Arabidopsis thaliana: one gene and its partners. Changing the gene in region 3 together with the main gene of any one other region gives a genetic interaction. Each region holds a gene or a part of one and is shown on either strand. Other genes may lie near its edges.

Region 1 (3,761 bases), on a different chromosome or scaffold from region 3:
CAATTGGAGTACAAAAATTAGACTAAAGCTTCGATTTTCAGTATCATCCAATATATTAGCATTAACCTTCACTAATCTCCGATATAGCAGATATGTTCAGCCGTGCGCGACGGCGAAACGAAACCAGAAGCTGGGTGGGTCTGAGACTCTTGACTCTCGAGTGTTTGAAATCTGTGTTTTTTTTTTCCATTAAAATAATAAAAATGGTTCAAAAAAATATACACAAAACGTCTACATTATCCCCAAAAATCTAAAAGTTCCTCAATTTTAATATGAGATTTTCTACTTGAAAGCACAACATTTAAGAATTACATAGTTATATATATTTCATTAAGAAAATCATTTATATCAACTAGAAATAATTCAACCAATAAGAAAAAATAATGCAGAATATTAGGAATCATAAAACATCAAATTGAATTAAATAAAGCATAGAAACTTGGAAACAAAAAAATCTAATGAATGAGAAAAAATTACTTCTTAATCATGTTACATAATGGAGAACAGATGGACTAATAATTTATTTTAATTAGAAAAAACCTTTTCTGTATAAACATTAAACAGTGATAAAAAAAACACTCGTTTAACTTTCTAAGATAATTGAATTGAGTGGGTCAAAAATATCCTGAAATATTAATCTCTAAAAATGTCAAAAAAACATATGCAAATATAAATATTTATATATGTTTTAAATAATTTGTAAGAAAATTGAACCATTGGTTGTAAAAATTTGAAAAAACAAATACTTTGAAGATATACCAATTTTTAGAAAAACACTGAAAAAGACTTAATTATTAAAAATATATTTTCTTCCATTAAATTTAATAGTCATTCACTTCATTTTATCATATATTTGATCAAATGATGGTTATCTCACCTAATTATCATTTATCAATTATCATCACCTAAATGATGGTATTGCAAAACATTGGACCGGCAGTCTGGCACGCAAGCGTTGGCTCACATCTTCCACGTAATTGCCACAATTTATGAGTCTTTGGAGTTATCTAATAGTTATACTCTAACCAAAAACATCACCAGAAAGTTCAACAGAGCATGGCACATAGCCACACACTCCCATAACATTTGGGTCCCTTAGTTAACTCGAGCATCAATGTATATGACACTTCCAGATTCTTCGGAAGTTCTAAGCCCTCTCTTTTCATTCTTTGAATGCTTTTTTTTTTACTGCCATGCGTGCATTTCCATAAATGTTACAAATTTTTGAAAAAATGGTCTCAAGTTATATAATATTCATGCTTGCTTCGTGAATTCCTTTGTCCGATTAGTAATCAAATGAGCGATTGAATTTTTTAAACCATTTTAAACTAATTAAGCCCCAATTAAACTTTAGTATGATTTACCCCCCCCCCCCAAAAGTCTTAACAGTTTAGATGTAATTGTATAAATTATTATAAGCATGTATCGCTAAGTTAATATTATAAACTTAATCAATAGATTAAGAAAAAATGCATTCATTATCTTCTTCTTTTTTCTCTTCAACATTCTTTTAATAACTTAACAAAATGATATATAAAAATGTATGCAACAGTATACAAACAAATTTTTGTAAATATATAGTTAAATTGTATACCACATCCCTCTCCTGGAACCTGGCTAGTCATATTCACACCGAGCAGAACCACAAATACTTTTAGGTTCCTACTCCATCAATCTCCTTTATTTCCTTAATATCTTAACATGTGGAAAACAAACCAAGCAACATCATTTTACCAATAAGATGGAGTTGAACTTAAGAAAAAGTTTTTTACTATTTGAAAATAAAACTATATACATATGACCTCATAATTTTGGAAACTGATTCTTATTCAAAACCTAACAACTTCTAGAGATCAATTTTAATGGTAGCCACTTATATGGTCGTTCAAAGGAAAAAGAACAACCGTGGAATGGACACATTAGCCAATCATAACCACATCTATCTTTCATCCACTCACGTCACTCGTCAAACCAAAATCTATAAACCTCCAAAAATACATAAAATATAAATAAAAAAATAGATCACATAAAGTCTACGTAACTAATAAGAACCAACAAAAATCAAATAAATTAGGATCAGAGAAGAAATTTATAGAACCGCCATTTCTACTCTCGCAAATAGCTAACCATCAAACACCAATTTCCATATCACGTAAGCTATATATATTTTTATTTTATACACTCCTTTCTCTCAACTTCTTTATTTTTATATACAACTCTTAAAAGTAAGTATATTATATTTATTTAAGTGGTTTATGCTTTATATAAGAAAGAAAATGACAAGTATGATCGTGAAGACAACGCCGGAGCTCTTCAAAGGAAATGGAGTGTTCCGTACGGATCATCTCGGAGAAAACCGAATGGTTAGTCGATCAAACCGGCTAGGTGATGGATCAAACCGTTTCCCTAGAACCGGTACAATCCATTGCCAACGGTTAAGCATAGCAAAGACCGGTTTGCATCGTGAGACGAAGGCTCGAGCCATACTTAGCCCTGTGTCCGATCCGGCCGCTTCCATAGCCCAAAAGGTAAGCCTTTCCATTTCAATCATTCTGGTGTATTTTCACCATAAAATTTTATACACTTTTTTATTACGTTTTGTTTTATGATTCTGACGTGAGATTCTTGAGAGAAACTATCACCGATCATTGGGTCGAACCATCTAGCAGCTCAATTATTATCGGTTATAACCCTACCGGTTATAGAATACAAAACAGGTTACGCCATTGTGACATTTGCTTTGTGATCTTGTGAGACGATTAATTATTTGATGTTGATTGGTTTCGTTACTCTTGTTTAAACAATCGAACGGTTCAAACTAATACACACATGTGATGTGAGATCATTTCGGTAGTAATACCAAATAGCGTCTGGCCTAAATTATGAAAGTACTATTTTGAATTAAATTATTGTGGAAACATGAACTTATTTAAATTCAAGTATTTTCGAAATTTGTAATAAAAAAAAACTTTTCCTCTAGATTCATTAGCCCTACTTTTCGTAGAAACAACTTTAATGTATTCAAAGACCACTTTGCTGCTTAAGTCAGACTCTTGTGCCACTTGGTAGATCCACCAATGCCACGTTTTGTTATTGTGCCAAAGAATACGTGAATATGTCCAAACGGCAATCAAATTCTTGGCGTAAAACACAAAAATTATGATACTAGTTTAAATCCACAATTCACCTTCACCATAAAGAATTCATGTATTAGAGATGGTATGACAAGAACTGGTTGAATTTGATGACATTTGTTTGCTATTGTTTTGGTTAAGTAAAAGTTTTGTTAAAAAGGAAAATAGCATCGGTAGTGGCAGATAGCAAGTGTGTGAGTGAGATCAGATATGGTTGACACATCTATGACGAGTCATCGCAACGAAACTTCTTTAATTTTGGTCAATTATATTACAATTTAGCATTTCGAGGTTGGAATTTTGGAATGATCTCTTGATAAGATAATAATGTATTTTTGATGACGTATCCATCAAAACTATAAATGATTTATATTAAATATGAAATTTCGACTGTATACAAGTTTTTATATTATAAAATTATTCGATGTACATATGATCATAATAATAATTATTTTTTATTTTATTTTATTTTTAGCTTAAATTATAAACATTATATTTAGCTTTTACATAATGGACATGTCAAATTTAGGATGGATAAATTTGATCAATTTATCTTTGTGCTTTAGACAGAATCTATTTTATCCAATTTTTGCTTTACTATATATATAGATACGTATATGTGTTCTT
Region 2 (3,761 bases), about 10 Mb from region 3:
ATTTCGGCAATAAATTAAAACAAATGTGAAACAAACCAAAAAATACATTTACGATCCCGGAAAATGAGCAAACCCAATTATATGTGCACCTAAAAACATTCTTTATTTTGGTTTGAATATTCCATAGAATTAATAGTCCATAACTTTTTCGGTATAAAATCATAATCAAAATTAATTCCACAACTAATATTTAAACTTATAAAAAAAAAAATATCATGAGACGAAAAATATAGCATGACGGATTTGGATTGATATGAAATATAGCAGGACTGTTTTAGAAACACAGATTCAATATTTATTTTATTATTTTATCATCACCAAATTTTTTAATTATAATATTAATATAAATTATATAATTTTAATATTAAACTAAAATCTTAAAATTTAATAATATTATTTATAAAAATAAAATATTTGCCCTGTGGTATACCACGAGTTAAATTCCAGTTGCTTAATAATATTCTGTCTAAATTCTAATTTTTGTTATAGCAAATGGAATTGGAGTGTTTTTTTTTTATAATTGCTTAAGTTCAATTCATTAGTAAAAGATAAAAAAAAATTGCAGCGACAACAAGTTAACATGTGGCAAAAGAAGCAAACAGAACAAAATCTTGAGGATATTCCATGTCTTGCTTTTTATCGTTTATTTACGGCACAATGATTAATTACGAATCTACAAAGTTTGGCCTACGATTGTTAATTTATTAGAATTATCGGCACTTTTCGATAGTCGCGAGGAAGGAAATTAAATAAATTATTCAGACCTCAGAAGAAGCAGATCTTGTAGATTCTTTTGATGATGACCTAATTGTGACAAGGAAACATCATCTAGTAGGGATATTAATGAGAAATATTCTTCAAAAAGAACATTAATATATGTAAAGTATTATAGGTCCGATTGTTTACAACAAGATCGTAAAATATATTCAACAGGTAGGAAGAAGAAAATAAAACTAGCTGATGTTGTTGAAGTTTACATACTATATGTGTATTAAGTTTTTGATTAGATAAACCCAGAAATTATTTAAAAAATTGTAAACTCAAATTTCTTCTTGTTATTATTTTAAAAACATCATTTACTCTTATTTACATGCAGATGGAAGAATTCGAGTCAAGTTTAACTCTCACAAAAAACCTAGCCAAGTTCTAATATAAGTGTGATCAATCCAAGGGTCAAGATTTATTGTCCGTGGGGAAATATCGTATATGGTGATCTAAGGCCAATCTCCAATCCCCATGATGATTATGGTACATGCTCATTTTTTTTTTTTGCTATTTCACAACTAATCACGGTTACAGTGATGATTATGGTGGTGGTGGGAATGATGATACATTACAACATTATGTTAGTTTTAGCTATTATATCAGTTAATCAATTAATTAGTTTCATCTATAATATTGATAGACTTATATACATTTGATTACTCTATATAGTTTGTGAAACATTAACATGGATATCTATTCATAGGATCCAAACTGCATAATCTGAATATCAAAAGAAGCTACATTTTTTTTTGCTTAACCTCAACTGCAAAACCTCTTTGAGTCACAATATGAGAAATTACTACAATACTACAGAAACTATTAATGTAGTAATGTACAAAATGGACCGTGGAATATTTATGCAGAACCATTTAACTAGTGAGCGACACCGTGCGTGTTCAGACAGTTACAACTATTGCTTTTGTGGTCTATTGAAAGTTTGAAACCAGTGGTTTGCTAATTAGATTCTCACGTGACTTTGATCATTCATTGTAAATTTTTGTAATAAATTAACAAAAACATGAACGCGTATCGTGTCATACAGAACTTATATCATACATACTCTTTTAAATACGGAATTGTATAATTATTATATCAGCTATCTACTTTACTCGGGTCAACTGAATTTTTTTATTATAGGAATATACAGAAAATAAAATTTAGTTAAAACAAAATAATTTGTTTCAAATAATCTAAACTCTTCAATAATTAGTAGTTACTAGTTATATACAGAGAAGATACTAGCTTGCTCACTGATTTTTCATTTTTTTTTACACAAACAAAAAACAAAAAATCCGTACAATACATGTGTCTGCATGCGTGTCTATATATATACAGCTACTACTCTTCATTGATAAGAATCAAGCTATTCATAAAATAAAAAGACTTATTTCTCAAAAAAAATGGCGAGTTATAATCTTCGTTCACAAGTTCGTCTTATAGCAATAACAATAGTAATCATCATTACTCTCTCAACTCCGATCACAACCAACACATCACCACAACCATGGAATATCCTTTCACACAACGAATTCGCCGGAAAACTCACCTCCTCCTCCTCCTCCGTCGAATCAGCCGCCACAGATTTCGGCCACGTCACCAAAATCTTCCCTTCCGCCGTCTTAATCCCTTCCTCCGTTGAAGACATCACAGATCTCATAAAACTCTCTTTTGACTCTCAACTGTCTTTTCCTTTAGCCGCTCGTGGTCACGGACACAGCCACCGTGGCCAAGCCTCGGCTAAAGACGGAGTTGTGGTCAACATGCGGTCCATGGTAAACCGGGATCGAGGTATCAAGGTGTCTAGGACCTGTTTATATGTTGACGTGGACGCTGCGTGGCTATGGATTGAGGTGTTGAATAAAACTTTGGAGTTAGGGTTAACGCCGGTTTCTTGGACGGATTATTTGTATTTAACAGTCGGTGGGACGTTATCAAACGGCGGAATTAGTGGACAAACGTTTCGGTACGGTCCACAGATCACTAATGTTCTAGAGATGGATGTTATTACTGGTACGTACCACGATCTTTTTCACACAGAGATTAAAAAAAACAGTAATAGTGATTTTAACTTCGTACGTTTCTGATAGACAACAAAGAACTTCGTACGTTTTTCGAAGTTTTTTCGTCTTTTTCATTTTAGATCTGCGCGGCCATTTTTGGTTATGCTATTGTTTGTTTGTATTGTTTGTCTCTGTTTATTTATTTCTCGAACTTGTTGATAGCTTTTCTTCTTTTCACACATCAATCTAATCACCTTTTTTGGTCTTAAGATTAGAAAGAAGATACGGACTAGGTAAAAATAGGTGGTTGTAAACGTAGACGCATTAAAAAAATATTGGTTTTTTTATTTTTTGATAAGCAAAATTGGTGGTTGGTCTAAGATTATAAACTTGATATTAATGCAAAGGTCGATCTAGCAATAGAAGATTAATCAATATTCTTGGTGTTTTAACAACAGATTATTTCATCATTAAAATCGTGAAACAAAGAAATTTTGGTAGTATACATTACGTGTAGTTTTGTTAGTTTATTAAAAAAAATAGTATATAGTTTTGTTAAAACGCGATTTATTTAGTAACACATTAGTATATTACACGTTTAACCAACTAAACTTTTTTTTTTGAATAATTATGTTCTATATTTCTTACTCAAATTATGCAAATTTCGTGGATTCGAAGTCAAATTTCTGCGAAATTTACATGGTCATATATTATAAAACTGTTCATATAACCCGGTGAACAAACAGACAATTAAGGGTTTGAATGGTTACGGCGGTTGGGGCGGACACAACCGTCAATAGATCAGACCGTTTTTTATTTACCATTCATCAATTATATTCCGCAGTGGTTTGGGGTAAAAAAAATAGAAGAAAACCGCAGCGGACCAATTCCATACCGTTTTTACATACAAATAAACATGGTGCGCAACGGTTTATTGTCCGCCTCAAAAATGAAATGGACTAAACCGCAGATAAATTAGACCGCTTTGTCCGCTGC
Region 3 (3,761 bases):
GAAGAAATGGATACATAAGAGCTAATAAAAAGAAGGTTTAAACTTAAAAAACAACTGGATTCTCTTTAACACAAAAAACTTGAGATGCATTTTGTTGACGCTAATGTTTGATAACATTGCTCCTTAGGCGTGCTATACTAGGGGTGTGAGCCAAAGCACAATTAGCCTTACCTAAATGAATTATTGTGTTGCTTAGGCATGTTAAACTGAGAGTATGAGTGTAAACAAATATCAGCAAGTTCGTCCCAAAAATGATAAATTAAGCGATGAGGTAAAGAGATTCCTCTAATTTAAAAACCACGTAGCGCTAAACAATTAATCTAAGTTTTGAATTATGATGCAGATATTGCTGATCGAGAATTTTACAACTAGGCAACCAAAGTTAAGAAATAGATTGAGATTTTTGATTAGGTTGAGGCACAATAGGGTGTGGTTATGGTACATTGTTTTGTATAAGGATCATGTATGCGTGGGTGGTATGGGACTATGAGAGAATAATACGCGAACATGATCAATAAATATTGACAAGGTGGTTGAAGAAAAAAAAAGATGAAACTCGGGTTCATATAGAAAAAAATCCAAAGCTGTGAATGATGCATGCAAAATTCGGATTAACCCATTTATTTCTTATGTATAAAATGATTAGTGCGTGAGATAAAAAAATACTCATGATAGATAGACTAGATAAAAAAATACTCATGATAAATAGACTAAGATTTTTATTAGGATTTTGTAAAAAAAAACCTTCAAACTTGTTCATTTTTGCAATTTTATTTCCATTTCCAACAAATGTAAATTAATCCTATGAAGTATAAAATAATACGCATTATAACATTTTTGCCTATTTTTGCTATTATCAATTTTATAAAATATTGATATATAGTTTTTTAAACCGAACTCGAAAAGAAGAGTTTAACCTTACCTTCAAAATTTTAAAAATATAATCTAATGTGTGTGACCTTATAAACGTTTATAATATACGTATAAGGATCATATTGCGTATCATTTTAGACTTCAAATGATGAACCTGCATTTGTTGGAGATGAAGGATAAAATTCCAAAAATAGATTAGTTAAAGAATTTTTTTGCACAAAGCCTATTTTTTTCTTTGATGTATGTAAGCTTATCAACTGAGGTTGGTCAAAAATGGATTGAATAAGAACATGTCGACCATAAACCAAATAATTTAGGTTTTAGATGTTTTAACACTTTGCTAGAAGCCGAGTATATATAAAAGGATATATGACTCAAGTTTTAGGACCGAATTTTGTATAGTTGGTTTGGATCTCCATAATCTCAGAGCTTGGTGGTCAAGATTGTGCCTCGTAACCTCGTTATCCAAAAATGAAGTAGAATGTGAGTCGAATATCGTGAATTCGGTACCCTCTCGTTAGCTCATAGTGCGTTGAACCCTTTATCTCGAATTTGTCAAAACAAATTGATATTTTGTCGTGAAAAAAAAAAGTTCAGACGAAAAATAGTGGTCACAAGTCTTGTTCGAATTGATACCCGAAAAAACATCTTAACCAACTTAAAGTAAAAATTTAAAATCGGAAATTTAAATATTACCCTAAAGTTTTAAAAGGCGGACTTTTCAACGAAGGTTTATGCTAAGGTTAAAAAAAATACAGAAACGCTTTCTCACATTTCCATTTCAATAAATATATATCAGTCGCCACCCAAATTTCAGAATTGCTTCTCTTAGTATTTGCTTTCACCAACCCACTCGACGGAGTCTCCAACGCCTTCCTCCTCATTCTCCACTCTCACACCACCAACTTCTGATTCCAGATCTCAACGATGCAAAGCTCCGCCGTATTCTCCCTCTCTCCGTCGCTTCCTCTCCTAAAACCACGTCGGCTCTCTCTCCGCCACCATCCCATAACCACCGCCGCTTCTTCAAGCGATCTAAACGTTTCTCCAAATGTTGTCTCTATTCCTTCTTTATCTCGTCGATCTTGGCGTCTCGCTTCGTCTGATTCGCCTCTCCGTGCTTGGTCCGGTGTTCCTTCTCCGATCTCTCACTCCTTAGACACGAATCGTTTCAGAACCGCCGCTACTGCAGTTCCTGAAAGTGCTGAGGAAGGTGATAACAGTGGTAAATTGACGAAGGTTTTGGAACTTGGCTTGTTGTTCGCTATGTGGTACCTTTTCAATATCTACTTCAACATCTACAATAAACAGGTACTCCTTTGCTTCTCTACATGCTTAGTCTACTCCACTGTTTTGAATCAATGGAGAACTCAGAAATCTTATAGTCAATAGGATACTGGAGAGAGATTTTGTTCTGCTGATTCCGAAATTGGTACTGTTCATTGTGTTTTGGCTAATTGTTGTAAGTTCATAGTTTCAATAGATTGAACTAATCTTAACGATTGAGATTCATTTTTGTGTTTAATCGTGTTTTGATTAGGATGAAGTGTTCAGAAATTTGAGAGATATTTTGTTCTGCTGATTCAGAAAATTTCAGTGTTTATTGTGATTTGGCAAATTGTTAGAAGTCTAACTTTTGATTCTATCAAAAAATGTAAAGGTTTAGTTCAATCATGTTTTGATTAGGATGAAGAATTCAGAAATTTTATTATATCTTATACAGGAGAGAGATGTGTTTCACTGATTAGTTGATTTTATTGTTTGATTTTGAGGGAATCAATAGTTAGTTTCTTGTTTCTTCTTATTCTTGCAGGTTTTGAAAGCTCTACATGCTCCAATGACTGTGACTTTGGTTCAGTTTGCTGTTGGTAGTGTGCTCATTACTATCATGTGGGTTCTTAACCTGTACAAGAGACCAAAGATCAGTGGTGCTCAGGTGTGTGTGTGTGTGTGTGTTTTTAATGGAGGCTGGTAAAAGCTGCTTGTTCTTGAGATTTGTCACTCACTCTGATATGTTTACCTTGATAGCTAGCTGCCATCTTGCCGCTTGCTGTTGTGCACACACTTGGTAATCTGTTTACGAACATGAGTCTTGGGAAAGTTTCTGTTTCCTTTACTCACACCATTAAAGCCATGGAGCCTTTCTTCTCTGTTTTATTGTCTGCTATGTTTCTCGGGGAGGTGAGCTCTTTTTTTTATTTGGGTTTTTCTTTGACGTCTCGGAGTTGATTAATGCACTCGTACCTATTGTCCTCCTGTCTGGACTAAGTTGCTATGTGATTCTTGTTTCTAATGGCTTGTTAATGATAGTCTATATTACTCATCGCTTTTGTTTGATTTGTGTAAAGCATAATTCGTTTACTAACTCTTTCTTAGAAACCTACTCCATGGGTACTCGGTGCCATTGTACCAATTGTTGGTGGAGTTGCACTTGCTTCAATTTCGGAGGTCTCATTCAACTGGTTAGTTTGTCGACGAGTATTGTGACATTTAAGTCGGTGGTTATCTATTCTTCTGATAACTCTCAGATATTTACTACGGTTACTTGTTTTGTGGTAGGGCTGGATTTTCGAGTGCAATGGCATCAAACTTGACTAACCAATCCCGTAATGTGCTGAGTAAGAAAGTCATGGTTAAGAAAGATGTAAGTTTCCTATGTGTGGATCAAACTTTCAATCTTCGTGTTTTGGAATAAATTAACTAAAACTTGATTTTGTGTCTCGGCAGGATTCTCTTGACAACATCACTCTCTTCTCAATTATAACATTGATGTCTCTCGTTCTGATGGCTCCTGTGACTTTCTTTACGGAAGGCATCAAGTTCACTCCTTCATACATTCAATCAGCTGTGAGTTTAGTATATATTACGATTCTATTTTTTCTATATCC

What was found.
Region 1: of CUE1 (region 3) and PPDK, changing one suppresses a phenotype caused by changing the other (phenotypic suppression), as found in Arabidopsis thaliana (one study listed by BioGRID).
Region 2: of CUE1 (region 3) and CKX3, changing one enhances a phenotype caused by changing the other (phenotypic enhancement), as found in Arabidopsis thaliana (one study listed by BioGRID).

Annotation. Positions count from the first base shown.
Region 1 is NC_003075.7:8,869,243-8,873,003, reverse strand, and holds the start of PPDK (pyruvate orthophosphate dikinase), read left to right. Parts: upstream 1-2,132; 5' UTR 2,133-2,255; coding exon 2,256-2,528; exon of another isoform or gene 2,529-2,717; intron 2,718-3,684; exon of another isoform or gene 3,685-3,761. UniProt on the Arabidopsis thaliana protein: Formation of phosphoenolpyruvate. May be involved in regulating the flux of carbon into starch and fatty acids of seeds and in the remobilization of nitrogen reserves in senescing leaves.
Region 2 is NC_003076.8:23,046,650-23,050,410, reverse strand, and holds the start of CKX3 (cytokinin oxidase 3), read left to right. Parts: upstream 1-2,118; 5' UTR 2,119-2,165; coding exon 2,166-2,775; intron 2,776-3,761. UniProt on the Arabidopsis thaliana protein: Catalyzes the oxidation of cytokinins, a family of N(6)-substituted adenine derivatives that are plant hormones, where the substituent is an isopentenyl group.
Region 3 is NC_003076.8:12,587,150-12,590,910, forward strand, and holds the start of CUE1 (Glucose-6-phosphate/phosphate translocator-like protein), read left to right. Parts: upstream 1-1,591; 5' UTR 1,592-1,800; coding exon 1,801-2,184; intron 2,185-2,686; coding exon 2,687-2,809; intron 2,810-2,901; coding exon 2,902-3,054; intron 3,055-3,249; coding exon 3,250-3,335; intron 3,336-3,432; coding exon 3,433-3,517; intron 3,518-3,600; coding exon 3,601-3,720; intron 3,721-3,761. UniProt on the Arabidopsis thaliana protein: Phosphoenolpyruvate/phosphate translocator that transports phosphoenolpyruvate (PEP), 2-phosphoglycerate, 3-phosphoglycerate and dihydroxyacetone phosphate.